4 linked regions of the Rhinolophus ferrumequinum genome follow. The protein of the gene in region 2 binds, or shares a complex with, the protein of the main gene of each other region. Links are inferred from orthologs where the notes say so. Each region holds a gene or a part of one and is shown on either strand. Other genes may lie near its edges.

Region 1 (7,317 bases), on a different chromosome or scaffold from region 2:
TGGTGAGTAGCGAGGCCAGCGATGCTACTGAACAACGCACAGGACAGCCCCCCCCCAACAAAGAATTATCTGTGCCGACAGTACAAAGGTTGAGAAACCCTGCTTTATCCTGATCATTAATTGTAATGACCATGAGGGGGAAACTTGGGTGTCATCTTTCCATTGAACGTTCAGCAGCCCATCCAGCACACACAGCCTGGATCAAAGCAGGCACTCAACAAATGTTTGCTGCATGAATGTACAAAGATAACAACAGCCACGAAAGGGTGGTTTAATGAACTCCGACCACAGCGCAGACCCTGAGCTAAACACAGGATAAAGACTAGCTCCGGGGATCTTCCCAAAGTAGTGAGCTGTGGACTCAAAGTAGTGACCATCGTCCATTTGCAAACCAAAAAACCGAGACACAAAATGATAGCAAACCCTTAGGTAGCACTTAATACACACCTGGCTGTTTTAAATCATCAACTCATTTAATTCCCCAAGTAGCCCTATGACACCCCAATAACCAGGCCCCCAGTGATACATGCCTCCTGCTATTCACACTCTTGGTATTTACACCCCCTCAAACCCTGAACAGGACTGACTTGAGTACCAAACAAAATGTAGCAGAAATGATGGTGTGTGACTTCCAAGACTTGATCATAAAAAAACCTGTGGCTTCCTCTCTGCTTCTTCTGGATTGCTCAGTTTGAGGAAACTGAGGAGGTGCATGTTGGGAGGACACTCAAGCAGCCCCACAGGGAGCCCTTGTGGCCTCCAGCCAATAGGCATAGGGTGAGCCATCTTAGAAACAGATCCTCCAAAGACCCAATCAAACCACTGGATGCCTGCAGCCCTGGCTCATCCCTACAGCAACCTCACGAAACTCCGAGGCGGAACCACCCAGCTAAGCCACTGCTGAATTCCTCACTTACACAAACTGCATGATTATAACGAACACACGTTTGTCGTTTTAAGACACTATGTTTCAGGGTAATCTAACGCAACAGTGGATGAGTAATACAATAAATAACTAATACAAGTAAAGATGCTCCTCAACTTAAGTCCAAAGAAACCCATTGTAAGTTGAAACAAATAAGTAACAAACGCATTTAACCTACTGAACATTACAGCTTTGTCTAGCCGGTTTCTACTGAACACGTATCGCTTTTGCACCATCATAAAGTCGAAAAATCTTACGTCAGGGACAGTCTGTACTATTAACACACCGTCTTTAGAGATAAGCTATATCGGGCACAGAGGTGGCAGGGACTCCTGAGTCTGGGAGTTCTATAGTGATCTGACCCTATCTATCTGCACCTGCAAAAGCCTACAACGTAAACTAACAAAATTCGATGCAAAGCACAGAGCATCTTTCCTGGCCTATCCCCACCCCTCCTGCACTCAGGCTTCAATGTGCCAATCAGAAAAAGGAGGGCTGGGGTAGAGACGGGAAACAACAGACAGAAAGGGGAGAATCACACATGGAGTACCAGGTGGGTGCTGGAGCCCAAGGCCTCTTTGACTGGGAGAAGTTTTTTTCTACTACCAAACCTGATCGCAAAATCGTTGAGCACACAAAACCCATCACAGAAGTGACATATGGACAAAAACAATCCCCCTCAATACTTTCAGCCATTCAATATGACCCCAGCCATCATCCATTCACGGTCCCTCACAGGGTCCCCCAACCCACCCCAAGCACGGGGGAAAAGCTCACTTAATGCCATCGAGCCAGGTGACAAACTCATAAGCGCTGCTGGTGGGAGCGTGACACTGTACGTAGGACTCAGGAGCGCAGTCCACCGTGTTGAACACGACGAGGCTGTACTGGGTTCCCCCATACTGGGGGGGGGAGTGCAGAGGAACTTTTCACCTGGGACCTCAGAGAAGTCAGGGCTTCCAGCCCCTCCTCCCTGGGAGCCAGGAATCCGGACCCCATCCCCTCCTCCCTCAGACCCGGGGGTCCAGGCCCCCAGCCCCTCCTCCCTCAGACCCGGGGTCCAGGCCCTCAGACCCAGGGGTCCAGGCCCCCGGCCCCTCCTCCCTCAGACCCGGGAGTCCAGACCCCCGGCCCGTCCTCCCTCAGACCCGGGGGTCCAGGCCCCCGGCCCCTCCTCCCTCAGACCCGGGAGTCCAGGTCCCCACCCCCTCCTCCCTCAGACCCGGGAGTCCAGACCCCCGGCCCGTCCTCCCTCAGACCCAGGGTCCTGCCCCCCGGCCCCTCCTCCCTCAGACCCGGGGGGTCCAGGCCCCCGGCCCCTCCTCCCTCAGACCCGGGAGTCCAGGTCCCCACCCCCTCCTCCCTCAGACCCGGGGGTCCAGGCCCCCGGCCCCTCCTCCCTCAGACCCGGGGGTCCAGGCCCCCGGCCCCTCCTCCCTCAGACCCGGGGGTCCAGGCCCCCGGCCCCTCCTCCCTCAGACCCGGGAGTCCAGACCCCCGGCCCCTCCTCCCTCAGACTCAAGAATTCCAAGACTCACGTCTCCCCCGAAGTCTGTCTCGGCGGGAGGACCACCATTAAAATACCTGTGAGGGTCGGAGGTGAAAAGTGGGGGTCAGACAAGAGGCTGTGGAAAACTGAAGCCGGAGGGCGGGGCTGGAGACGCGGAAATGGCACTCACTCGATGGCCGGGAGCAGGTAGTGCTTGCGGAGCCCCTCGAAGTACGGCCCCAGGTTGGCCGTGCCCTCAATCACAAACACGACGTCAGCCACCAGGCCCCCGGCACGGGCCGGGCCCTCGGACCCGGGGACCATGCCCCGCGAGGTAGACGCCACGGCCGCCACAACCTCCGCGAGATGAGCGGAAGTGCGCCTGCGCCGCACGCGCCCCCGCGCCGGGCGGCTTCGCTGTGCGGCTAACGAACCCGCGGCCATATTTATGCGGGGCATCCAAGGAGCGTTCGTTCTAGCTGCATCCTCGTTCCCATCCACCGCGTACAAGACTCAGATTAGGCATAGCGAACCACTTCGGGGCCTGATGCGGAAAACTGAATTACTGGCAGAACTGTCCATAGCTAAATACATTGGAAACAGCACCGGCAGCCGTCATCTTTGAGCGGGGCACCTGTTTCGACTCTGGTCTCAATGGGAGGGTCAGGAGATTTAGTTGCTATGCAACGCGTACGCTGCCCTTGTTTTCTAACAAGATGAGGTTTCCAGTTAAGTTCTTTCTAGCTCAGGGGGGGATGGGGAGCGTGAACGGTCCAATCATAACGTCCGAAACGGGTAACTAGGTAACGCTTTAAGGTTGCCGTCAACTTGGAAGGGAGTGCAGCTGTTCTCCCCCCCTCCCCAAGAAGCCAAACGCTAACCCTAGTGGAGGTTGCTAAGCAACACCTGATAGTTGTTTTGTGCGAGGGGCCAGAAACTGGTCTAAAACAGAAATACATTCCAAGTGGATTAAAGATGTAAATTAAACAAATGAAACCGTAAAAGTATCTCAAGGAATAAACACGCTGTATAACCTTGAAGACTGGAAAGAGTTTCTTGCCATTACAGCAAAGCCAGAAAACGTAAAGTATTGATCAATTTGTCTGCCAAAGACTCCATAAACCAAGTTGAAAAAAATGTGATCAACTGGGAAAGTCATTGTACCATATGTGTGGACAGAAATTTGCTACATAAATACATGTTACTAATCAATAAGTACGTACTTAGGAAAGGAGAAATCTTTTATTTTTTTAATGGGAAGGAATCTAAGCAGGCTTTTCGCACATACGATGGCAAATAAATATTCGGAAAACTCTTCAATTACAAAGTGCTAACAGAAAGTCCAATAACATATCATTTTACCTTTGTCATGTTAATATTGGAAAAAGGAATGTTCACGAGGGAGGCTCAGTTGTAGACGAGTGGGGGTGGAAATCAGGACAACTTGCCCCCGTGAAGTTTGACAATATAGTTCAAGGTAAAAGGGTATATACATTCCCTTTGCAAAAAGCCATGTCCCCAGATGGTAACATTTACTTTAACCGTTGCTTTTTTTCTTTTATTTTCTTTGTTGCTTTTTGCTTTTATTTTCTTTGCTGAAGCGTTTTAAAGCAAATCCTCATCATTGTATCATTTTACCTGTTGTCACAAGGGGCGTCTGGCGGGGGTCTCAGCTCCCGCCTCCCTAAACAAGAATACAGAATAGGGCCAGGCCAAAAAGGAACACCCACGGAGCCATAGGTACGGGAGTCATACCACTATAGTCTCACTGGAGGCTGGATTCACACGACATGCAACCTGCTGTCTGCTTTTCTGCCAACCGACCGACGACTATCATAGCCGCGGCAGTGATATCAGTGGCCAATTGGCTAACCAGCTACAGCTGACAGCCAACTAGCCACAGCCGAAGGCCATCTACTACCCAAGCCAGCACCTTTCCACGTGAGGCCGAGAGCCTGGAAACTGCTCTCTGGGGTTCTGTCCCCACACTCCACCCCTACAGGGTCTCACCTCAATCTATGCGACAAGTGTCTTCTGCAAGGGGCCCTGTGCGAGGTGAATGCAATATTGTGGACACAGCCAGGCTCTCTGGGCACAGCCAGGGTTTCTCAGGGCACCACCAGTCCTTCTGGGCACAGCTACACTTCCTGGGCTTTTTAGGGTACCATCAGTTTCCCCGGGCACAGCCAGGGCCTCTCAGGGCACTGCCACTCTCTCTGGGCTCAGCCAGTCTTTCTCACATATTCTCCATGGCGGCTGATCGAGACACAAAAGCAAACATCTGCCAGTTCCACTACATGGTGATACGTTCCCAAGCAAACAATCAAGCGGTCCATTAAATTAGGGATGGAAGGCAATTCCTCATAGTCCATAGTCATTCACCAGGGCTTTCCTGGGGGTGAGGGACGACCTTGACCTCACCCTCATCTCCCACGGAGTGCTCAGCAAGAGTTTATCACTCTAGAGTTAATATCACTCTAGCCCAGGTGATATTAAGGTAAAAAAGTGCCCTGTTCTAGGCATGGCTTCTATAGCTTTTTATGGTAAAAGACCAGTGTTTCTCCCAGGCCACCAGCTCCATCCATAGTGGACTGATACTTTTGCAGAATACTATAAAAATAAACCTTTAGAGAAATTAAATTACAAAACAGTATAAATCATATTGTGAACTTCCAGCCTTTTCCATGTGTATGCTCATGTCGTGCGAGGCGGCCTGTGGGGGTCTCTGCTCCCGTTCCCCACATCATAAGAACGCAGAATGTGGCTAGGCCAAAAAGGAACACCCATGGAGCCATAGGTAGGGGAGTCATACCACTATAGTCTCACTGGAGGCTGGATTCACACGATGTGTGACCTGCTGTCCGCTTTTCTGCCAACCGACTGACGACTCTCTATCATAGCCACGGCAGTTATATCAGTAGCCAATTGGCTAATGGGCTACAGCTGACGGCCAACTAGCCACAGCTGATGGCCATCTACTACCCGAGCCAGCACCTTTCTACGTGAGGCTGAGAGCCTGGAAACTGCTCTTTGGGGCTCTGTCCCCACACCTGTGCCATCTCTAAAAAGTTATATTTTCTTACATAACCATTATGCCATTATCAGTCCTAACAAAATTATTTCTTAGTATAACCTAACACTAAATCTATAATCAAATTTCCCCAGTTCTCCCAAAATGTCTTTTTACAATTGCTTTATTTGCATCAGGATCCAAACATATTTAGACATTATATCGCAAATTTCTTTTAATCTAAAGTAGCTCCCTCCTTTTTTATGCGTGTAATTCAATTTTTAGTAAAATTACAAGGAAAATAAAAGTAAAGTTGAGAAAAGAAAAATGATCAACAGGTAAGATTAAAAAAGTACCTAAAATTAAAATCTGCCGTTAAGTATAAGGAAACTTTTCTTTCGATAAAGTGAATATACGATTAATTGAATTAACTGATTTCTAACCACCTCCATTAATGTACAACAAATGGTAAAATAAACAATTAGATATTTTAAACTGGACTTCAGCTTCTGGCATTATGGTAGGAGTACTCTTCAAGTATCCCCTCCCCACCCGACCCCCGTCCAAAAAAAAAAGACAGAGAACCAGAAATTAACACAAAAAAGAGGGAGTAGAACTGCCTGTACAGGGAAGGAGCTGCATTGGCGTTACCAAGAGCATGAAGGCAGCTAAGGGCCTTCCAGAGCAGCTGAGCTCGCCTCAGGTTGGTACTTTTGGCAATCTGTAGAAGTAGAAGCACACCCTCCTTGTAGATCTCAGATTAATATTGGCCATATTTGTGAAAATGTGTGACTATGCTGTGTTAAATTGTCAACTTTCTATTTTTGAGGAAAGGATTTGGGGAAGAGTATTTCATATTCTGCATGATACACGATCATGTATAAATTCATTACAAAAATAATATTTCTACGATTCTGGAAAAATGAAGAATTTCATCTTTTTCTGTTAACCACCACCATCTAATTTGGTGGTTACTAGGCAACGCTCGTCGGACCAAACCATCCTCGAGGGTGGGGGGGAGATGGTATTCTCCTCCATTTTGCTCTAGGGAAGGGTACTCAGAGTTTGTCATGCGGCCATCTTTGAACGGGGCACAGCTGTTTACAGCTTTAGGATGGAAATGAGACTGAATGTAGTTACTAGGCAACGCCATGGCACCGTCGCCATCTTTGAGTGGGGCACAGCTGTTTATCGATTTAGAACATAAAACATCCTACCCTACGTGATGGTTGCTAGGCAAACCCTGGGGCGGTCACCACCTTCAAGCCGGGCTCTTTATTCTCTTCTTTAAATAAGTGAAGTGAAGTCACTTTAGGGAGAAACTATGAAGCTTTGCCAGTACAATTAGCCGCCATCTTTGTTAAAGGTATTGTAACTTCCGGCTAGAGCGGAAGAGACTTGAACAGGGTTTGGAGGAGGTGCTGGAATAGGGAGTGAGGGGGGGTTTAAGTTGGTTGAAGGCGGGGATGTAGTCCTCTTCCATTGAACTTCCCATCACCCCTCTGGCGGCTTTGGACGGCAACCCTACTTAGTAGTGTGACTACGGTCATGCTCCAAAGCTGGCACTAACCGAACCTGCGAGGAGGTCTGGGGGGGTTCGAAATGGGGGAGGAGGGGACGGAGGGCACCGTACATCTGCTGTGTCTCGCGGCCTCCAGCGGAGTCCCCCTGTTCTGCAGAAGCAGCCGCGGCGGCACCCCCGCCCGCCAGCAGGTGGGGCCCTGGAGCCTGGATCTAGGGGTTTAGGAGCTTGGGCTCTGGGTCTCCAAGAAAGTAGCGGCTGGGGAAGTTTCAGTTGAGTTTAGAGGGCTGAGGGAGTAATGGACCAATAATCCTTGTTCCCCGGAGAGAGGAGGAGCCCAAGGGATCTAGAAAGTAGAGGGGGCTGGAAGC
Region 2 (7,788 bases):
GGACTATGTTGGCCATGAATGAATTTAACAATCCACTGGATGCACTGTTCATGAGATTCCTGGAAAGTTAGAAAATGATTACATTTTAGGCCTAAAGTTATATGTCGTAATTAACATAGCTAATGCTACACCTGGAGTATACCAAGACTATGAATGAAACACTCCACCATAAACATTCAGGGATGCAGACAATTAAAAAAAAGGAAAAAAAATCAGATTTAATATTTCAGCTACGTTAAACTTAAAATCTTAGCATTATAGAAACTAAACTCCCACTATTTTTATTAGATGGAACCTCCAAAAGGAGTAAGATTTTATTAACATATTCATGAGCAATAGAAAACTCTAACACAGATTGTGTAAGGCATTATAAGCCGTGACCTTAATGGCAGATTTAGATATTCCTATCACGGGGTGGTGGGGAATCCATTACAGATTAGTACATTAGTCTCATGAGAATTTAGTGTGAATCTAATCCTTAAAAGGCCAATCAATTATGAATCCAACGACAGAACAAATTTCTAGATTTCTGTGACTTTAAATCTGATACTGAAATGTACTGCCCATATCGAAGTCTGTCTTATAGGACATCCTCAAAAGAGCCTATGTCCCGTTGTTCTTCATTACCACTGTCCCTAACACATACTTCTGTTGTTGATCATATAATGTGGATTTACAAATATTACTTTCTTCTTGGCTCTCTCATTAGAATATAATATTCTTGCAGATAAGGGCCATACCTTAACTCATACAATGTTTAACAAATTATCAAACATTTTAAATCTTTTGGAAAGATGGTCAACATCAGAGAAGTGCAAAATAAAATTATATACTGAGATAAAATTTCTCATGTTTTAGATTGGCAAAGATCACAAAGTTCATTAACACTCTATTGTGAAGCTGTAGGGAATATATACTCTTAAATATTGCTAATGTTTAGGAGTATAAATTGGTGAGCCTTATGGAAAGCAACCAGGCAATTTCCATAAAAATTACAAATAGCCATACCTGCTCATTCAGCAATACTATTTCCATGAATTTATTCTCTGTCCCATGTGCAACATTAATCATTTTGCATTGTTTAAGGTGGAAAAGATAAGAAGCAACCTAAATGTCAGTCACTAGGGGACTGGTTAAAAAAAGGAAGGTGTAGCCATAAAACAAATATGCTGGAAGCAAGGAAGGAAGTCAGAAATTTTAATTTTTAGTGGATTGTTGTAGAATTACTTTCAGAATTAATTAATTCTGGTATTAAGGGTGAAAAAAAGCAAGGTGCTAATGAACAGTGTACATAATATATGACCATTCTATAAAAACGATTCTATATGCATAAAATACTTCTAGAAGGAAATACAAACTAAGAATCCTGGCTACAGATGGAAAAAAGAAAAGGTAATTAAACTAAAGAGATGAAAGACAGACTATTAATTGGGTCCACCTTTTTGTACCTTTTGCATTACAACACTTTAAAAAAAGAATGTTTTATCATTACGTGATCCATGTCTGAGTAGCAAGTCTTACCACCAATGGTTTAACTGCAAACATTTTCCTACCTATAATGAACCATAAAAAGACAATGAAGTCTTTAAGGATCACACATTTTGTCTTTTTCAGGGATATATTTTCTGGTGACTGTTCTTTGTTATTAAGTTTTACTGTTCCTTTCCTCTTTTTTATTATAATATCTTTATATCCTTATTATAAAATAGGATCCTTATTGTGGCATTTCTGTATCTTTACTATAGTATCTCTATATCAATACTGTGCCAGTTCCTTTGTTGAGAAAATGAAATTTTTATCCTTTATAATCCCTAACACAGCTGTTTTCAAGTACACCAAATAAATGAGAATAGGATAAAAATGGTTTTATGTAATCTAACATGGGAGATTTTTAAAGACATCTCACACTGTACTGTCATCAACTTGAATTCTCAATACAGGTTCCCCACTGGAATACAAATTGAAACAAATGGAAACCAGAATAGACATAAAAGATGACGACAATTTTATCTCCCCTTTTCCAACAGCAACATCAAAGTAAGTGTAAAAAAAAGAAGGGGTCAAAAATTATTAGCTGAATGTATTAAAAAAGCAGTACTCACCTGGGAAAGACCACTCCAAAACTGTCTGAAGGCTCCCAAACAGCTAATTAGTTTTGTTTTTTCATCTTCAGGGGTGTCCATAAACATGCTATAAACAAAAATCACGTTATTTGCCACTAGTTTTAAAAAGGTAATTCAACATAACCAGAACTGTGGATCTTATAAATCTCCAAGACAAAACTGAGTAAAATCTTAACAAAGATACACCCACGTAAAAACACAAAAATCTGCTCTGCATATACTCACCCAGGGAAAGCCTCTTCTATAATTTCCGTTTTCTGCAACAAAACAAAACAAAACGATATGAATAAAAAATTAAAAACTAAAAAAAAGGAGGGGCCTCCCCGAGCAAAACATTGGTGTAACATAGGGCAAGTCACCTTAACCACCTACACGCAGAAACTAACAATGCCTGCCTGACCTGTCACAATGCCTATTGTGGATTTCAAGGAGGCTTTGAATTTGACAGCAGTTTGAGAATCGCTAAACCTCTGCGCACATACACAGTGTCACAACCAAGGAGAGGTGGGGAGAAGTTGGCCGAGCCGGATTCTTTAATCCGATGCCCCCAAGACTCCCCCTCGCCCGGCCGTAGTCCTGAATCCCTGACCCTTTCACTCACCACCACCTCCTCAAAAATGCTCTGCAGTTGCGTCTCCATCTGGACCATCACCCCCGCCTTCCTTGGGCGCCCGGCGCGCGGCCTGCGATCAGGCCCGAGCTCCGGGGAATAGAAAGAGGGGCGGAGACGCCCTCAGGAAATCGCAGGTCGAACCGATCGCTTTCCACCCCAAACGCTCAAATGAAAGAGTCCCCTCTAAGGTCCAGCAAACAACCGAGGCCTGCAAGGAAGCACCGGGAAGCTCATGGTGCTTTCCGATTACAAAACCCCCGGAAACCAGGGACCTAGCTAGATGGTTCCGAGAGTCAGAAGAGAGCGCCCCCAAGCGGCGCCTCGAGCATAAGTCACGTCGAGGCGTTGTCCGCTGCAGGCCGCCACCTCCTGGCAGGAGCGGGTGTTGCTTCCTCCTCGGGTCTAAAGCTTTTGCATGTTGGAAAGGAGAAAAGCTTGGATGCCAGGGGCTGCAGTCTGCAGGCAATGTTTCTGCTGCACCCTGCACCCTGGGTCAAACTGATGATGGCTGCTGACTTTCTGTCCTGCAGCTCCATCAGCAGCCTGGAGCCAGGAGTTGAAACAATACTTTTCTTGACCACAGATATCATATCTTCTCAACGATGGTAACCTCAGTGCTGGACACATAGCAGGTTTTCAATGAATGTTAAAAAAAAGAATGCATCATTATTGATTTTTAATTGGAATAACAATATTTACCATTTTTAGTTATCATAATCTAAAAATAATATTTATCAATTACTGAATACCTGTAGCCTATTTGATGGGGATGGGGTGGAGAAGGGTGGCAAAGAGGAAGGCTGATCCACTGGTGTGGTCAGAGCAGATACCTAAGTGCTCTGACTGCTGTGCCTCCCCACACCCCATGGCTTTATTCCTTCAAGCGGGAAACCTTGTCCTTCTTCAGCCTGATTTAGGGGTCTCTTCTTTATCCTCATAAAACACCTTTGTGCATAACTAGTAGAGTACTTCATTTATGGAGTATTTATCCACCATTCACTCAGTGCTAGAAACAGTGTTAGGTGTTTAATGAACTATTGCAGTAATCAATTTTGCAGAATGTCCAAGCTAGGATGACAGACCTAGAATTATTAAAACCCAAGTTCCCTAACAATCTATTGTTCTTTTTTCTATATTAAGCAAATTATCTTATAGTGTATTACCTTTAATCACATACTCTTCTAAAATGGTTTTCATCTACTATCAAGCAGATTTTCATGCTTCCACTCTGTTTCCAAATTAGTGTATTCTCTGCAAATGCCAGCTAATCTTAATATGGGCCAGGGCTTGTACAGTTAACAAGGTAAAATAGCCAGGAAAGAATTATGTTTTGGCCATAACTAAATACAAATTATTTTTTATATCATTCTTGTTGATGTTCCATTCATTGAATAAAAATTGACCATCTATTTCTAGATCTTCTTAATGTGTTTCCCCCAATATTCATTTTTAAAATCGATGTATAATTTATATACAACGAAATACATAAATTTTAAATGTATAGATCCATGAATTTTGACAAATGTTCACAGTTGTTTAACTACCACCTCCATCAAGACATGGAATACTTTTATCACCCCAGAAATTTCTGCTCTCTTTGCAGTCAACCCCACCTGTAGCAGCAAACACTGTTTTAATTTATGTAACCATTAATTAGTTTGCATGTTCTTAAAGTTTATGTAATTGGAATCACATATGATGTAATCTTGTGTCTACCTTCTTTCACACATTATATTTTGAGATCCATCCATGTGTATCATTTTGTTGAATGATTAAACTACAGATTATTTATTGATCCACCAGTTGGTGGTGAGGACTTATAAAAACTTTGATTTCATAACTTGTGGGCCAATATTTAGATTTTGTACTTATTGTGGATGGAAAAAAAAAGGGGGTTAGGGGGTTCTATGAGAAGTAACCTCACTGGGTGATCTGATCTGAATTCCTAACTGGGCAGGTCATGTGGATACTCATTACCCAGGCCTATAACTTCCTTAGTGAAAGGTTTTAAGCCAGCTCTGTCCATTGTTCTTGTGCATCTAGGTTGACATACCTTTGAAATACCAGAAGTAATGCCCTTGGAAGAGGGTATTAACCCTCAAGAGAACACATAATCTTGTTAACTATCCTGTAATCCAACCCTCACCTTGTTTTTTTCCCACCTGCGTGCAATCTTCCTTATGTTCCCTCCTTAATTACCAATGCATAAAAGAAGCTGTAAAAACAGCATTTGAGATCTTGCTCCCTGGCATATGTTGTCAGTTTGGCTCAAATAAACTCATAAAAAAATCTATACAGGTTTGGACATTCCTTATCGACATTTAGGTGGCGTGGTTGGCAGGATTCTGAAGCAGCCTATCCAGGACCACCCTAGAAACCTGGACCTGGTACTACGTAGGTACAAGCAAGGGCCCAATGTGCCCCCCTGGCTCCTTGCTTCTCATCAGCTAAACTGAGGTGAGTTTCTCTTGGAATTTTGGGCCTCCTTGCTTTGAATACCAGGTCATAACTTTATCTGAGCTCTTCTTAGAAAATCCTCGAGATGGATAAGGATTGAGATTACCCAAGGAAAGAACAAAAAAATGGGCTGCTGCTTTAAGTTTTGGCTTTTTAATTGGATTGCTTACTGGGAGTCTGAACAAAATCTTTGCTGGTCAAATGAGACACTGAACAATCTTTAGCTCCAAGAGAGAAAAGGCACTTGCTTTCCCAACCCCTATAGCCAATGGGGTGATGTCAGTTGTTCAGATCCCTGAATTCGGTGCAGCGGAGATGGGTGCAATTGTCCAGTTCATTAGAGTAGCCAGTCCCAAGGAAGCTGACAGGAGCCCAAGAGACAGGGCAACGCACCCTGGAGTGGAGTGTGTCCTCAGAGAGGAGCCTGAGACAGGAATCTGTGCCTTGGAAAATGTCTCGATTCTAGCAGTGTTTAGTAAGTTCTTGCTGGCCCTTGCTCGGGTATGCTTAGGTGACTAAGAATCTTTGTGGGGTTGCTTGAGGAAAATTTTTCTCTAGGGCATAAAGAAGTCCTATAGGGATATCTACTACATTTGGCTCATCTAGAATTGTGCATGTAAAGGCTGGTTTTCCCTAGAAGTAAAATGGGAAATCGTGTCTCTGAAGCCACCCAAGCCCATGACAGTGAGCCTCCCATTTATAATTTACGATGGCTAAGATGAAGATTCTTTGTTACCTCTAAATAAATTTTTGTGCACACAATTAGAAAAAGCTAGCTACAGAATTAGGCAGACTGAATAAAAAAAAGAAACTATTAGAGACTGTTTCACAACTTTAAAAGGCCTTCTCCCCTAAGTTAAAAATGGAACTATGTAAAAGGGTTTAGATAAATGGATCAACCTTCGATGTCTTTTAGGTGTCAATTCAATTCTTTGGGGAATTAAAAATGGCTGTCTTTTTTTTTTAAAAGGGGAATTCATCTGGAATTTGACTTGTCAAGGAGAGATATAAATTATAAATGTCTCCAAAACAAAATTAGAATCTAACTGTTCTCTGTTTGTGTCTGTCTGTGTATGTCTATATATACATGTGTTGTAAATGTGAGATAATTTTCTATCTGCAGATGGTATTGTTAAAATTAATTTAAAGGCAAGTGCTTGTAAGAATTGGATATTCTAAAATTCTCAAATATAGAAACTAACTCAAATGCTTTTCAAGTTCACATGAGCTAAGAGTCCTTAGTAAACAAAAGCTAGCTTAGGTTGGTTGGTTGAAGTAAAACAGACATGTCTTTGTTTTGCCTGGGTTTTACAAAAATAAATCTATGTTAATGATTGAATTTTATGTCTATGAAAATGTTTCTAGAGGTTATAAAATGTCCAAGCTAAAGAATGCTAATTGATAACTTCTTAGTTTTTATCAGACATTAAGGTTTTAAGGGTTAAGATTTCAATATAGTAGGAAAACTTCTAGGATATATTGGGCTGTGGGAAACCCAAGATGGCTGCTTGGTTCTTCGCTGCTCCCTGACTCCCCATTTTTCAATTTTTGCATTCCTTCATGTATCACAATGCATTTAAGCTAAAGGAACTTATGAGCTGACATTATTGAAAGGAGACATCTTACAATATTACCAAGGTCTAGGAAATGCTAACTTGGTAACTGCTTCCTTTCCCAAATTGCTCCCAGGATCTAAAGACTTTAGAGCAGTGGTGTCCAAACTTTTTTCAACCTTTTTCACCAAGGGCCATATGAGGTAAAATACACAAACAGCCGGGCCACTCACTCGAGGTGAAGTACGTATTGCCTCACCTGGTTTATTTAAGTAAACTAGATATATTTTTGGAATTTGCTGCGGGCCAATTAACAATGGATTGCAGACGGCAGTTGGCCCGCGGACCACAGTTTGGGCACCCCTGCTTTAGATGTTGTTTCTTTGGAAAAGACATCAAATAAAAGACACTCTCCAACCTCATGGCAAGGGCCCTTATCAGGCTCCTAACCACGAATGGACATCTACCCCTGTACGCACATCAAAGATTCCTCGAGGATTAGAAGCCACTGACAACAAGGGAGGTAGCTGTTTCAAGACACTGACAAAGTTTGTATATCTATGGAACTCAGAATCCATTTTGTTTGATTGTTTTTACCTGTTTGCTAATGATATTAGTCATAATAATAGTTGTACTTGTTCTTTGGGTTTTTCTATATAGTCAAACTGTTTATGATTACTGAACATGTATAATATAACCAATAGTGCTCGTTTCATGACTTCTGCAAATTTACACTAGATGCCAATTATAAAAAAATGAGACAGAAGGCAAAAGTTGGATTACGCTAGTTCATAGGATAGAAATGACCCAGTGTTTCTTGCCGTGAAGACCATCAGAGCTGACTGCTTTCCATTTACCTGCCCTTCCTTTTTTGAGAAAAATTTGGCCTCAGCTCAGATCCATGGTTACAGTGTTCCCCATCCCTAGCGGTGAACAAGATGACGTCACTGACACTTCCTAGGAATGAGCCTTCCTAGAGCTGTGAGACCATACTATCTAACCAAAAGGTTGGTCATCAATTAATTCGTCAGATTAATTTATG
Region 3 (7,798 bases), on a different chromosome or scaffold from region 2:
GTGCTGAAGTGGTGTGACTGATTTCTGGGCAGGAGAAGACACTGCCCTCAACTTTATCCACAACCAAGCAAGATCAAGCTGGAACAAATGCGCACACTGCACTTCAGATTTTCAACACTCTGGGCTGACATACCATGAAAGAGTAAGATTTCAATTATTCTGAAAAACTGTTAGTTGCTTTCTGAAAAGGAGTGTAAAGGATTTACTTCAGTACTGAGTTGGCAGAAATTAACTCAGAACCTGCTGCTACAGAAATTCAAATACTCCAGAGGCTAGAATTTAGAGCAAAAAAACAACTTTCCTCTTAAGAACTCTTTTGTCAAGGAGATGCTCAGTAAATGTTACTTTGTTACTTCCCTAACTTTTCAGATACTTGTGGATATTAGGTCAGCGGCTTGACATTAATTTTTCAAGCAAAAGCTGTTTGTTAACCATAATTGCATGTCCATAAAGGTAAGCATTACATGACACAATTCTCTGTATTTTCTCTCAGAAGAGGTTTAATTTTAGTGTTGGCTCTTCAACTCTGTCCCCATTTTTTTCATGAGCATCTTAAATATGTGTCAACCAACTATCCAGAAGTGTTCATAATTGGGCAAAGCAGAGAAGAGCGCCCGTGCGGCAGCAATGCCCTGTTGGAGCGCCCTCACTCTCACCTGGGCCCAGGTCAATCGTAAGAAACTGCAGCCCTGTGGTTGCACCTTCTCCATCAGCAAACTATTCTGCCACATCTCTAAGTTTCTATACACGGTTTGAACCAAGCCGCACTCCTGTCAAATGACTAGTAACAATGCTCACAGACACTAACAATGGCAGCATTTAAAGGAGGCACTTTCTTCATCGCTCATATTCAAAGAGACAATTTCCCAATTCTATCAACTTATTTTAGTAGGGCTCTAGCACACCTATCGCTAGAGTTGCCCAAAGTAAGCCACATGAAACATGAATTCCATGCTACGTAATACAGCCATGGGCTCAGATGAGAGTAATGTTTCTGCACACACCAGGATACACGAAGCTGAGATTTGTTCCCTCCTCCTACTTCTAGGAACCCTCTAGATTAGAGCCTTGCACAACACTAGAATCCCTGAGGTCACTGCCCACCTAATCTGTAACATCGTGACCACCTGTCAAAGCACCTTCTGATGTCAAAGCGCCTTCTGATCCCAAAGCTCTCCTAGGTGGCATTAAGAATCAGTGCTAATAGGTCAGCCACTCTCAGATACTCCAGAAGGCAAGCAAGCACATGGAATTCAAGAATTGCACTCTGACTCGACAAAAGATGCAAAAGTTACCAAAGCTGTATTTTTCATGTCACTTGCTTTATCCTCTAATATTTCAGTGTTGGGAATTGCAGCGGCACCAGTTACTGCAAAAATTCTGGGAGGTTTTATATAGCTTGTGCCTACTCCACCCCCAAAGTCCTAACAAAAATGTATACACTTGTTAAAGGCAATTTCCACCAAGCCAATCTTAATGGGGCCCGAAGACCAGGAATAAGAGAATTACTTATGATAGAGAAATCAGAGCCTTACAATTATCATAACCCCTCCAAAATTACCCAAGACAATTTTTTCTTCCATCTGCAGTATGTTAAAGTGATTTCAGTGGCCACTTCCTGGTCTCCCAGCAAATGCAGGGCTCACTTCATACCTGGATGTCATCCTCCTCCTGCTTAACCTGCTCCTGCCACAGGGGAAAATGACCCCTATCATCAACAACCCCTTGGAGAATATATGAGAACACAATGAGGCTTCCCCTACACACACGGAGGGGGGACAGGGGAGATCCCTCTGCAAACATGGAGGGTCATCTGACAAAGCGACACCCTGGGGTTAACCCTGTCATCTAGGTCAAAAACCACCTGGCTAGAACCTCCAGATAGGGGGAAGGGACAGCCGAAATAGGGTTCTTGGGTGAACCGGAGAGAAAACAATCACCTTTAATTCCCTACCCAAAAGTGGGGCTCTGGCTTGGTCAGAGACGCAATGGGCAGTTAGGCCCAGAAAAGCAGCATGAAGGATCCCACCCTCCTCCCCAAGATCATCTTCCGTTGGCAGCGACTCGAAGAGGGATCCAGCAAAGACATGTCCATTCGCAGAACCGAAGAGACCTCTCCACGCGCCCTGGGCACCCGGCTAGGGGCAAAGCAGGCCGGGGGTTTCCCTCCGAAGCCAAGGTGCTTCCAGCAGGGAGAAGAAGGAAGGAGGACTTCCCTGATCACCCAGAAGGCCGAGATACTGGAGGCACGGGCTCCCGGAGTCATACTCCAGCCACCAGTTGCTCCACAGTCTTTCTCCCTCCCCTCCCCCAAGTCGAGAGGGCTTCCCGGGGGGTCTCTGGTCTCCGGAGAAGGGGAGGCAGGTAAGCTCCGACAGGAGCAACAAGGGTCGTAGAACTCAAGCAGGAGGGAAGGAACAGCTCTGGCCTCAGCTCCCGTCTGTATCCTCCACCCAGGCCGCACGTAAGCCTCGGCCTCACGTACCGAGCGCCGCCGGGCTGCCCGACCTGCCCCGGGCCCAGGCCCGGGGGACGAGAGGCCGGGATGGCAGCGGCCCTCGGGGGAAGGTGGGCCTCGGGCGGGTACCCGGGAACCCCGAGGGTGAGGGGCACTGGGGAGGAGGAGGGTCCCGGGCCCACGAGGCCTCGGTCCTGGCCCGCGCGGCGGGTACTTACGTTGCTCTGGGGGTCGATGGCCTGCAGCAGCCGGTCCCTGATCTGCTGCGGAGACGCCGGAGCCGCTGTCATTGCCTGGGCGAGGCGGGGGGGAGCGGCCGGGCCAGCGGGCGGGCGGGCTGAGGCGGGGGACGGGGGTCACTCACTCGCCGGCCTCCGGGAACGGAGCTTCATGTTCCCCGCGGCGCCGGGGGAGGAGGGGGCGCGCGGGGTGGCGGAGAGGGGAGCCGGAGCCGGGGCTCGGGCCCGGGGCGCCGCCGCCACCGCAGGAGGAGGAGCCGCCGGAGCCGCCGCCGCTGCTGCCGCCGCCTCGAGAACCAAACTCCAGTGAGCTGCTCCTGCGCGGAGCACTCTGGGTAACCCGCGCCGCACGCAGCGTCGGCGCCACGCTGAGGAGGTTGGGAGATGGGGCGGGCGGAGACGCCGGGCTTGGGCGGGGCCACGCCTGGGTCACACCCCTCGCCTTTTACGCATGCGCGCACAGGCGCACTCGCCCACCGCGCAGTCCCAGTCCCCTGCTCGGCCCGGGGAGCCGTTGGGAAACGGTTGGGCGGGGCAACGGTCGCCGCCTGGAGCCCCGCCCCCACCCGGGCTGGGGATGCTGAGGTTCCCGACCCAAACGCGAGATGCGCGCGGAGTCCTTGAACTCGGCGCTGCGGGTGCCGCCTCAGCTGTGCAGGGCGGGGAGGGCGGCGGCAGCACCCCTCTTCGGGAAGAAAAGCCTTCCTTGCACTGACAGAGGTGATAGGGGTCGCGGGCGGGAGAAGCTGCCAAGTTTTCCAAGCCTGGGGGGGATCCTTCCCACCCCCTCGATCTGCGTTCCTGGGGGCGAGGGAGATGGATGTCCACGTTGTGATGCTGCGCGCGTCTGGGTCTGACCGAGGGATGTCAAGGGACGTTCCAGCTCTGGTTCACTCCAGAGGGCGGGGGTCTGCAGCGCCTCGCTGGCCCGGGTCCCGAAAACATGAGACGGAGAAGCACCTCTCCGAAGAGCCGCCATCCCAGCTGGGAATGCCCCCAAACCAGCCCCGTGAGCCGACCCCATGGTTGCAGACCTGTGCCCCGGTGACATTTGGGGCCGGATCACTGTTGTAGGGCCGTCCTGGTAGGATGTTGAGTAGCATCCCTGGCGTCTACCCACTAAATGCCAGTAGCACCTTCTCCTCCAGTGGCGACAACCAAAAATGTCTCCAGTCATTGTCTGATGTCCCCTGGCAGGCAGAATCGCCCCCTATTGACATCCACTGGTTTAAAAGACCCTTCTACCTTGCTTGGCGTGGAGAGGCTGGAAAATTGAAACCCTCATTCTCTGAACCAAACATTTCTCAAAGGAGAAAACTGCAGCCCAAAGTCACCCAGAGTTACAGGTTAAACCCAGAACTTCTAATGTCAATTCTAAGGGTACCCCCCACCCTCTGCCCCACCCCCTTACTGCCTTCTTTCATTGCTGTCTTCTCTCTCTGGAAGCTCTATTAGAAATACTGTTATGAGACAAGGGGTGGAAAGGCAGGCTGAGTGGATTATTAGTGGCAGCCTCAGGAGAAATAACTTTTCCTTGTTACAGGAAGACCTAGATTTAAAACAGAAGAGAGGCAGCTGATGAGAACCGCATGTGCGCCTTGGATCTGTCCTACACCTGTTAGTCTTGCATTTGTCATGCTTCTGCGAAGCATTTTTATTTGCAAAAACGGCTGTTTCCGTGGTTGTGGCTGCTTGCTTCTGCACATGTGAAAAGTTTCACATCACACTTGTAGAAGAAAATAAACACAGGCAAAATACTCCGTTCAGTTACTCTCTTTAGCATGAGGTGCTTTGTGTACATGCTCCAAGTTGGAAATCTGCCCACTTAGAGATATTCTTTCTCACTTCAGATAAGCAAAATAAACAAGCTTCTCCCCCAAGTATAATCCGGTCCTGCCTCTCTCTTAAATTTCTAACTAGATGTACAATGTCTTATTTTTTTAAATCAGGGAATAAGCCATTTGTTTTGCATGGGTCAGGTTACTTAAGAAAACTCTGGAAAGCACTCAACTTACCTGCTTTTTTTAAACTAAGAAGAAACATTAAGATGACTATGAGCTCCACAGGGGCACCGACTCAACTCCGTGTCCCCAGTAGATAGAAAAGTGCTTATTAAATATTTGTGAAGTAAGTGAATGTCTCATCAGATACACAGCAGTTGAATACACATACCCAAACATACTTATGCGGTTCAGTTCCACAGACCTGGCACACAGTGGGGGCTCAATAAATAATGGAAAAAGTATTTTATTAAATACTTTCTACAACATGAGGATGCACATGGACACAGAGTTTCATTCCATATTTAGCATACAGCATGTCCTCGAATAATGTAACAAAACGACGTTTTCGTTATAATGGTGAGATGCCATAGGAACTTAACTCGTTTTTTATCAATTAGCCTATGTTAAAACTGGTCTCATATGTCATTTTACTTAAAGTACAGAACTTATTGACAGTATTGAGGACTTACTGTATATACAAAGTATGCTTGTCATGGTAAAGAAAGATCGCCACGGAACAGTTTTGAAAGTTAGCAGCTTCTCTTACGTCCATGGTAGATACTGAATTTCACTAGCTGACTTTCTGCTTTCAAGATACTTGAAATGTTATGCAAAGATGGGGCTCAAGGTAAATCCTCGTGCTGTAATCGTTCTTCCCCATGATATGTCCCTTAACTTAGATACAGAGACCATTGGTTCCACCAATCTGAGAGGACAAGATCTTTTGTGCTTGAAATGTCCTTGGGAAAGCGGCCTCATCTCTTAGTGAGGCAGCCCCCAAAGGTTAGGGCGAGGAAGTGGCTCTGAGTCCATGGCTTGCTCTTGCCATGGAAGTGGGAGGGAATGTAGTTTCAGGACCTGAGTGCACAGCATGCCCAGGCAGTCTTGGCAGTGAGAGAGTGGAGTCCTCCTCCGTTGGCAGACTAGTAAGGGCATCCCAGAAGGAAGTCAAGAGCTGGAGGGCTCCCACGACTGCACAAGACAAGTGTTCAACAGCGACACCATGTGACAGCAAGGAGCAACAGCAGCAACGCCCTAGGCAGACTCACTGCTAAAGGGAAAAGCCGCTGTACCCTTGCGTCACAAACCCCTGGGAGGTGGGCAATTTAAAGGAGAGGAAATTACTGGACTTATCCCAATGATGTATGTAAGCGTTCCAGTGATTGATAAGAAAAACAAACATGAGCAAATCCACCACCTCACTTTGACCCATATGTTTGCTCTGAGTTTAACAGTCTGGTGGAAATTTTTAAAAACCACTTTCTCCTATTAACTCATTCAGCCATATCACTGATCTCAGAAGTACCTAGAGAGAGGTCTCAGGGTTCTGCTTGGCTTTGCAGCAAGTCCTGTTTACTTTAGAAGTGAAACCAATTTCAACAGTTTTGAAAAGCCCCTGAAATGTCACTGCTTTTAGGAAGACTTTCAAAGATAGACGGGACAATTTTTATCGTGCTTTCAAGTGGGATATAAACATGAATAAAGCCTGCTCCTGAGGATCTAGTTTTGAAGCCAAGCACTGGAATCAAGTCGGGGTCCCATTAATCCAATATTTTAATTGTACTGTCCGAGCGAAGTGCAGCAGGAGCCCTAAGGTGGGGAAAGCCCTTCTGGATAGGTGGACCAGGAAAAATGTTTGACAAGAAGGCAGCACTTCAACTGAGAGTGTTCCAATACACTCATACCCTCTGACCCGATCGATGTCTCACAACTTCTAGAAATTTTTCCAAAGGAACCACCAATCAGATGCAGATAAATGTGTACGTATGTACAAGGGAGGTCACAGCATCATTTATAAGAGCAAAAGAGTGGAAGCAACTGAAGTATCCAGTAATAGGGGAGTACATGAATAAACGGGGGGGTCAATTCATGAAAATGGGAAGGTTATGGACTGGGAGAGACCAAAGGAATCGATAACTCCGATGGGGGTAGCGGTCTTATGGGTGGATGCACATGAAGAAATTTACCAAGCTGTATATTACTGTACATTACACTTTGAAAATAAAGATATATAGCTAGATAACAGATAGCTAGATAGATAATAAAGCCGTTAAAAACCAGTACTGAAAAGATGGAAAAATGCTCTCAACTTAATACTAAGTGATAAAATGCAACATATATATACATTATGATCTTACTTTTATTAATATATGTATACGTATGTACATGATGCATAGAAAAACTACTGGAAGGAAAGAAACCAAAATATCTACAGTAGTTGTCTCTGACAGGTAGAACAGGTGATGATTCTTCTGATACTTTTGCCTGCAGTTCCACACTGTTTAGAATGAACATGTGGTGCCTTCTGGTCATCTCATCCAGTGCCGGGTTCTCCTGACCTCTAGTAACCTAAGGTTCTCATCTTCTGACTCAGGTAACGCTAATCTCAAGTGTGCCCATAATCTCCCAAATCCGGAAGATGGATTTGCTGTCAGGCTGAGTGATGGATGTCGATCTAAGTCCTAACAGTTGGTGTTTTCCCTATTGCCCCAGTTTTGTATTATTCTTAGTAATAATAATAATTACAGAGAATAACATTTATTGAGTACCTACTACATGTCAAGGTTCCCCACTGAGGGCTTCACATGAGGACCCTGATGAACCCTCTGGGCAGTCAGGCCCTATGTCAGTCCCTCCCCGTGACTCTGGGTGGGGCCTGCAACTCACTTCAGCCTATAGGATGCAGTGGAGGCCACATCCTGCCCAGTCCAGACTAAAGTTTAAAGAAGGCCTGGCAGTTACCACACCAACCAAAATTCCACTCCTGTGAATACCCCCAAGAAAACCGACACACAGACTTGTCCAGGTAACTGTCCACAGAAGCACTATTCATAATAGATGAAGGTGCAAACACCAAATGCCCATCAATAAATGAGTGGATAAACGAAATGTACATCTATACAATAGAATATTCCGCAGCCATAAAAAGGATTGAAGCACTGACACAAGCTACCATGTGGATGAAAACATCATGCTAAGTGAAAGAAGTCAAATACTAAAGGCCACATTTTATATGACTCCATTTGTATGAAATGTCAGGATCAGGCAAATTCATAAAGACAGAAAGTAGATTGGTAGTTGCCAGGGATGGGTGGAAG
Region 4 (7,337 bases), on a different chromosome or scaffold from region 2:
TATCCATCCTCACTTGTGCCCCACCTTCCTGTTCTCCCAATAGACAGCCCTGAAGCAGAGGTGGGGGGATGGGAGGAGACAGCCCAGGTGAGGATTTCATGGTAAGGAAAGAAGAGGAGCTGGAGATGAAATGACTCTGAGAAGAGCTAGAAACTTCAAGAATTGGGGCGTAGGTAGGGGTGGAAAGGGCCATGAAACACAGGGACAGGGGCTATAAGCCCGGACCTGGGCTGGGACCTGGCATCTGGCCAAATGTCTACTTTAGAGGCAGTGTGCCCTTCACTTTGCCCTTGCCCAGGTCTGTTAGCAGCCCTTATTGGGAGCCAAGGACAGGGAGAGAGGTAAGGAGAAGATAGGAATGGTGAACACTTGTCTTTGAGTTCAAGGTGCCCCACTGTGCCTTTGGGGTAAAAAAAAAAAAAAAAGGTAGATCAGGAGGTATTTCATTTTCTATGGCTCTGGGTCTAGGATTTCAAAAAGTCTCCTTCACCCAGTATCTTTAAGGCCTTTCGTCATAGAGAGATGTGGTAGGGGAAGCCAGAATGGAGGGGAGACAAAACCATAGTACTGTCATCTTCCCTCGGGACTCAGTCACCCTGCCCTAATTAGATGACAGCTAGACCTCTCCATTGCCTCCTGGTTCTGCCTGATTGATGCAGAGCATAAATGTATCCCATGCTTTGGGATTCTCTCCCCCGACTCCTTGGGCTGCCCAATCTCAAGAGACTATTTCCACACAGGGTAGAGCGTGCACCCTGAACGCTGCACACCACAGCTTTGCTCCCCAGGGTTTCAGCGAAACCCGATCACCCAGGAGGTGGTATCAAGGGCAGATAGCTACCCTCAATGCACCTCACACTGCACGCTGCAGCCTTCTGCCCCACGCTGCAGCTGTTGCATGTCCACTGTGAGCCCAGGCCGAACCCACAGGTTCACTGACTGCATGCTGACTCTGCATACTGCAGCCTCCATTCCCTACTGCAGCTGCCACAACTCCACACTGCAGGCTCCCTTCACCCATGGCATACCCCTCATCACCAGCACTCCACTCTGCAGCCCCAGGCTTTCATCCCAGCGATGCTTCTCATCCCCATGATTCCAGCGGGTCCCAAGAGATGCTCCATCCCCTCCCCATGCACGGTAGACCCCAATGCCCCCTGTAAGCGAAGTGGCTGCAACAGAGATGAGGATGCAGGTGGCTGAGACTGAGATGAACCAGGGCAGCCCAACTCAGATAGGCTGTTGGTCAGAAGCCCCACACTTAGCAAGTGATTTTTGTAGAACAGCTCCCCCTTCACATACACACACACACACACACACACACACACACACACACACACACTCCAACAGCAGACTGTGGAAACAGGGCCCAGCCCTGAAAGCCGTGGGAAGGCTGTGGCCCCCGCTGGTAAAACTGGGCTAATGACAGCAGGGGAACCGGCGGGGCCAGAGGGGGTGCTGGGGTAATTAGAGCTCTGCCTGGCGCTCGGAGATCCCGAGATGAAAGGGGCTCTGGCGTCACTGGGATGGTTTTATGTCCATGAGTGCAGGTGTGTGTGTGTGCAATGGGGTGGGTGGGAGCTGGATGGTAGGGGAAGGGCATCCATTTTTATGCAGGCTGCCTTCCTTAAATTGGCCCTGATACCATTTGGATTTTGGTGGGGGTAAACATGGAAGGAAATACCACCTCTGTGAAGCTGAGAGTTGATGGGGTAGAGCAAGTCTTGCCCCCTCCCCAGCCGAGCAAGAGGACCAGATTGTTGAGGAAATGGCTGATGACAGTGAATAAAAAGAGCCTATATTGAAATAGGGTGACATTTGAAAGGGGAGGCAGTGGATCAGGTAATGATGTTAGAAATGAGAGGGGAAGGAAGCGAGTAAATGGCGAGTAATGGCGAGTAAAACTCCAAAAGAATTTAAAACATAGATGATTGAAGTTAAAAGGACCTCAGGGGTCACCTGCCGAACCCTGGTATTTTAAGGTTGAGGAAGCTCTGCCCCCGACAGCAGGGGTGATTTGCTCAAGGTCACACAGTGAGTTACTGGCAGAGAAGAGACCCGAACTCAGAAACAAACTCGAAACCTCCAAGGGTTTGGTATTTAGACTTTCGCCCTACTTATAAGGTGCAGGCGTCTCGTCAATACTCCCTTCTCCATCCCCATGGTGCAAACACCAAAACCTTCCATTCTTCCAGCAACTGAAGACTATTTTTTAAATGACATCTTTTTCAAAATATGTCACCCAGTATCACTCCTGCCGGAGACGCCTGGAGTGGGGAGGGCGAGTCCGAGCTGGGCGGGTGTAGAGGCGGCCGAGGGGCGGCCGGGCGGCTGGCTGGCCGGGGTCCCGGGGCGCGGCGGGGGGCGGGGGGCGCGGGTCGGCGGCGGCAAGGCGGCCTGCAGGGAGCAGCCGCGAGCCGGCCGGGCGCGCCGAGCAAGAGCCCCAGCCGGAGCGGGGCGGGGGAGGGAGGAGCCAAGAGCGGCCGCCGCCTCTGCCGGAGGAGCCGCGGGGCCGCCACACTCGCCCCCCGCCCCCCCGCGCTCACTCGCACTCACACCCGGGCGCAGGAGGCGGGCGGCCCGGGCCCCACCGGCCCCCCATGGACGCCCCCGGCACGGGGCGCTGAGACCCCGCGTCGCTCTCCAGCCCTGTCCAGCGCGCCACGCCGAGGTAAGGGGGAGGGAGCGAGGGGGGTATTAATATGCAAATACCTCACGATTGATTATGCAAAGCCACAGGGCTCTCTGGCCAGCTCCCGGCGGGCTGGGGGCGTCCGGGGGGGACCCGCCGCCAACCTTAGCCTGCCCCCGACGCCCCTGAGACCCTGTCACAACCCGGGAGCTTGCAACTTACGCCCTGAGGAAGGGAGGTGTTGCTAGGAGGTCGGTGGGCCCCAGGGTTCGCCGGCGGAGATGGCGTCCAGGCCTCCCCCTCGAGGGCCCGCCCGGCCTCTGTCCGGCCCGTCTGCTGCGCATTCCCGGGCCCGGCCCCGCTGCCGGCCGCCGAGCGCCCCCGCCCGCCGCGCCGCGCCGCGGTTTGTTTACGGTGCGCGGGAGGCCTGCCCCTCAGCCCCCACCCCTAGCCTTCCAGGCCGAGGCCGAGTGGCCTTTGCAAAGCTGCCTCCAGCTGCGGAGGGCAGTACGTGTGGCGTGGGGAGTGGGCTTGCAAGGGTCCCGGGAGAGGGAAGCCCCCCCCTCCACCCGCCTCCCCAGTTGAGCATGGCTCTCTGGTTGCAACACTCCTAATTGCAAAAAACGCGGCTGGGGGTGGGGTGGAGGTGTGTGTGTGTGTATGTGTGTGTGTTGGGGGGGAGTGTATTTGAGGGTCCCCAGATGATTAGAGTTGCAAGCTAGGGTGGTTGGGGAAGAGAGGGAGGAAGGGACCTGTGTTGTGTGTACCCCCCCTTTTCCCCTCCCCTTGCAACGTGTCTCCTCTGGTGCCCCTTCTCTGTCTGGGGCCCTCCCTTGTCCCGTGTGAAAGAAAGGCCTGGGGAGGGGGGCAGTGATAGGGGCAATGGAGAGAGCCACTGTTTCCAGGGGTGGAGGTCGAAGGAGGGCAGCCAGTGGGATGGTAGCCCACCCCTCAATGATGGCTCTGGCCCCAGGAGGGGGAAGGGATGAAGGGGACTGTTGTCCAAGATGAGAAGGGAAGCAAATGTGACATGCAGACACCAAGATATGCCCACATAGACAGCCACATGCACACCCAGGGACACCCAGGCGTACTCAAGGACAGGAGCTACTGGACACACCCACATGGGAACAAGGGAAGTGGCAGGCTGCTGCTGCACTGGGGAGCTCAGAGGGATGGGACACACCCACGGGAGACCGACCCATGCACATACCTACGCACAGGGTCACACGGAGACGCTGTCACACACAGGGGCAAGGAGGAGTCGCTGTCACCCACACAGAAAAAGTCACTATCGCATGCATACATGAACACAGAGCAATTGCACACCGCCGCACATTACAAAAGACCCTGTCACTCACAGGCACACACGTGCTTGCATGAGCCCAGTCACACAGGCATCAACGCCTGCCGTGACAGTCGCTGTTACTCAGTCAAATGCAAACGTAGTTACACATCAACACATGTATACACAACTTAGCAACAAGTATTTTCCTGGACTTCTACTGTGGATCTCTGAGGTTCTGTATACAACAAAACCCCTGCTCCCAAGGAAATTAAATTTGTGTGAAAAGACTTTCCTGCGTAATGGTGCAAGGCATGCATTTGTGATAATGTTCTCCGTTGCTTGTTATCCCACCCTACTAGATAGTGAGCTTGAGACCTGGCAGAATCACTCCAAGAGTGCTGGATCCCACCCAGAGCCTAGCACAGGAAGTGCTCTGTAAATACTTGTTAATGGATTGACTGTGGGAACTCCGGACACAGGTGCACTGATTTGCACACAGTCCCAGGGACTCAGGTGCAGAAGGTGTTCACAAGGCGCAGGTCCACAGTCACAGGTCCAGGTCGACAGTGGTGTCCAGACAACTCCAGACGCACACCCCTAGATGCACACATAGTCATGGACTTTTTCCCTTAAGTTTCCTTCTGTCTTCTTCCTCCAGGCTCAGCTTTTTTTTTTTTTTTTTAAGGGACAGAGAAACTAGAGCAAAGAGTAGGGGCAGGGGGGTTCCAGAGGGCCGAATCACAGGCCTGAAGCAGTGTCCAGTGACTTCCAGCAGCTGGGATTATCCTGGCTGCTGAGGGAGTGGGTGCTGCAGTCCTTATCCCCACCCTAAAAACAAATGGTGGGGCAGATCTAGCTGCCCCTGCTGGAGTCATTTGTCTGAGCCTTTTCTGGGGGCCTTTCACTCACCCCCAGCTGAGTTCCTGCCTCTCACCCTGAGTCTGGCTCCTTTTCCCACCTCTGCCCTCCTGTCTAAACTTGGAAGCTTTCCTTAGGAGGCCGTATGCTGGTGAGTGTCTGGGTGAGTGATGTGTATTTTTGACTTGGAATTTCTCTCTAACGCTGTCTCTCTGTTGCTCTGTCTTGCTGTGTCTGATTCCCTCTCCTTGTTTCTCTGCCAGACTATAACTCTCACCCTGTCGCTACCCCTGTCTACCCCTGTTCTTGTCTGTTTCTGCCACAACCTCCTTTCTGAGCTGGGAACTGGCAGTGATGTTCTTCATAGTTTTCCGGTTGTTAATACTCAAACCCCGCCCCCCAGTCCCCGCCTGCCCTGTCTCTGGGGTCATCGAGAGGTTGGGGTGGGGGGCGGGGGGCTCAGCTGGCTGTTCAGGACATCCTGCACTTCCTCAGTGCTGCAGCTGCAGGCCAGCAAGTTTTGGGGGCTGGGAAAGGGGGGAAGGGAAAGGGGTCACCAACTGCCCATGCTGACCTCTCAGGCTGGCAGGCTCTGCCAGGAGACACCAGACCAGTGGAAGCTGGATGTGCAGGCCACATCCAACTAGCTCCTAACCAAGCCAGTGAGGAGCTCCCTTCCACACTCACCCACTGGAAGAGAATCACCCCCATGGGCAGTGGCGGGAGTTGGCAGGACCCACAGTGGCCTTTCTCCACACCCCTGGCAGCTGAGACCTACCTCAGAGATGCCCAACAGCTGTGTCCTCTTTGCCCAGCCTCAGAGCCTGCTTCTGAGGGTACAGCTGCCCAGACTATGTGCAGAGCTGAGTGAGGCCCTCTCCTACGAGTGCAGGCTTCAGCCCAGGGCGGCAGAATGAGCAAATCTTCCAGAGAGGGAATCTGAGCAGGGGACACCAAGCATTTCTGGCCATGCTCTCCTCTGGCTATGGCCTGTTTGGGTCAGGAGGCATTGATAGTGATTCTACCATAGAGAATCCATGGGCTGCTACAGAAGGGGAAACTGAAGTTTAGTCACAGGGAACACATAGCTGGATGAAAGACCAAAGTATCATTCCTCTAATAGGTAATGTCCTGTAGTGCATGGTGCATAATAAGCACTTATGCTTACAGTGAGGAAGCTTGTGGGCTAGGGTCCCCTGCATTTCTTGGAGAAGGTTGGTGGAGAATTGGATCTCCTAGACATCACAGGAACAGAAATGAGATGGCAGGTGGGTAGGCATAGTGGGTCCCTAATCTCTACTCACACTTCACATCACCATTTTCTCCCTGACAAGTTTTTGTAACCTGGAGGCCCTCTGACCCTCGCCTTTTAGCTTCTTAAAAAGAGCCTTGGCATCTCAGCCTGGGACACACCTCCCCTCCCAGTTAGGGGCACAGGCATGAATGTTTGGGCATCGTTGCATCTCTGTTGGGACAAGTCTGAGCACTGGGAGTGGGGGAGCAAAATAACAAGGAAAGCATAACCCTTCTTGAGTGTAGAGTACAGCACCCTTCGTCTCTCCTGGGGACCCACCATTTCCAGCTACCTACCATCAACCAATCAACCAAGACCCAGCCCTGGCTGACAGATACTAGATTCTCCACCCATGCATGGAGGGGGCATTAGTGTGAACGGTGGAGGCACGGAGTAAGGACCGATGTGGTGGTGTGTGGTGCCTTGAGATCCAGGGTCTCTGGGTTGCCTCTTTCCTTCTGTGAGTCTGGTGATGACTCCTCTCTCCCCCAAATCCCTTTTTTTTAATTCAGCAACTCTTCTTCAAGGTGCAGCAAGGACAATGGGGGGATGCCCTGTAGTGGGCCACTGGGAGCCAATCTCAACTCTAGTTCTCGTGGCAGCAAAGGTGCTTGGGGGACTTTTGTGCATCTTGGGCAGGGAGGCAAACCTGACCATGGTAGAGAGCACTGGCCGGGAGTTGGAGGCTGGGTGTTTGCCATCCACCAGTTGCTGACTTTGAACCTGAGTTTTCATCATCCAGAGACAGTGATGCCTACCTCACTCAGGAATGGTACATAGCATACCATGGGATGACACCTGTGTTCCATCTGTGTTGCATCCTAGCATGATAAGCAACGCCTGTGGATTCTCCTGCCCTCCCAGGGTCTGGCACACTCTAGGATGGGGATATATACATGCCACCTGGAACCAGAGATACTTCTCAGTCTTTCATGGAGGTGTCTGGGGCTGGTGTGTGTGTGTGTGGGGGGGGGGGAGCATATAATTGTCAGGCATATGGTGTCGCCCGCCCTCCTCCCTGGCAGGGGTGCCAAAGGGGACCTCCCTTTTGTATACCTGTTGTGTGAGGTGCTCAGGAGGGAGAAGTCAGAAGTTCTCTGGGTAGACAAGGGCAGCAAGATGGAACTTATTGGTGCTCAGGAAATGCTATCATTGCCCCCCTACCTTGGGGATGAGCATTCAGTCTAGGGACCAGGGGCTGGGATTGCAGATTAGGGCCAAAGGTACAGCCACACACCCCAGCAGTGGCAAAGAGCAGCGTGACG

Evidence for each region.
Region 1: MED23 (region 2) and MED25 share a complex: the UniProt entries of both Homo sapiens proteins name them as parts of the mediator complex. The link is inferred for Rhinolophus ferrumequinum from reciprocal best matches to the Homo sapiens genes MED23 and MED25.
Region 3: MED23 (region 2) and MED26 share a complex: the UniProt entries of both Homo sapiens proteins name them as parts of the mediator complex. The link is inferred for Rhinolophus ferrumequinum from reciprocal best matches to the Homo sapiens genes MED23 and MED26.
Region 4: the proteins of MED23 (region 2) and MED24 are in contact, whole or in part, in a cryo-EM structure (PDB 7EMF), measured with the Homo sapiens proteins. The link is inferred for Rhinolophus ferrumequinum from reciprocal best matches to the Homo sapiens genes MED23 and MED24. Residues at the interface, in NP_004821.2 of Homo sapiens: Asn150, Thr151, Val152, Ser153, Ser154, Glu193, Gly194, Leu196, Pro197, Trp199, Leu201, Gly202, Asn203, Ser206, Asp207, Asp210, Arg213, Tyr258, Asp259, Lys260, Phe263, Ser1133, Arg1139, Ser1176, Glu1180, Glu1182, Trp1183, Val1184, Tyr1186, Arg1189; in NP_055630.2 of Homo sapiens: Lys238, Thr239, Leu280, Leu283, Lys287, Val291, Glu295, Cys336, Glu339, Phe340, Lys343, Leu344, Thr345, Pro346, Leu347, Asp349, Lys350, Gln353, Lys384, Glu720, Lys721, Trp723, Thr756, Arg757, Lys758, Glu759, His760, Met802, Asp803, Pro804.

Annotation. Positions count from the first base shown.
Region 1 is NC_046298.1:44,851,976-44,859,292, reverse strand, and holds the start of MED25 (mediator of RNA polymerase II transcription subunit 25), read right to left. Parts: upstream 3,001-7,317; 5' UTR 2,874-3,000; coding exon 2,605-2,873; intron 2,510-2,604; coding exon 2,464-2,509; intron 1,828-2,463; coding exon 1,703-1,827; intron 1-1,702. Other genes in the region: FUZ (protein fuzzy homolog), read left to right, coding at 7,027-7,137. UniProt on the Homo sapiens protein: Component of the Mediator complex, a coactivator involved in the regulated transcription of nearly all RNA polymerase II-dependent genes.
Region 2 is NC_046286.1:78,968,689-78,976,476, forward strand, and holds the start of MED23 (mediator of RNA polymerase II transcription subunit 23), read right to left. Parts: upstream 3,006-7,788; 5' UTR 2,773-3,005; coding exon 2,725-2,772; intron 2,381-2,724; coding exon 2,349-2,380; intron 2,191-2,348; coding exon 2,103-2,190; intron 60-2,102; coding exon 1-59. UniProt on the Homo sapiens protein: Required for transcriptional activation subsequent to the assembly of the pre-initiation complex. Component of the Mediator complex, a coactivator involved in the regulated transcription of nearly all RNA polymerase II-dependent genes.
Region 3 is NC_046301.1:50,104,634-50,112,431, forward strand, and holds the start of MED26 (mediator of RNA polymerase II transcription subunit 26), read right to left. Parts: upstream 3,006-7,798; 5' UTR 2,749-3,005; coding exon 2,677-2,748; intron 1-2,676. UniProt on the Homo sapiens protein: Component of the Mediator complex, a coactivator involved in the regulated transcription of nearly all RNA polymerase II-dependent genes.
Region 4 is NC_046304.1:36,565,953-36,573,289, forward strand, and holds the start of MED24 (mediator of RNA polymerase II transcription subunit 24), read right to left. Parts: upstream 3,012-7,337; 5' UTR 2,855-3,011; intron 2,672-2,854; exon of another isoform or gene 2,470-2,671; intron 1-2,469. UniProt on the Homo sapiens protein: Component of the Mediator complex, a coactivator involved in the regulated transcription of nearly all RNA polymerase II-dependent genes.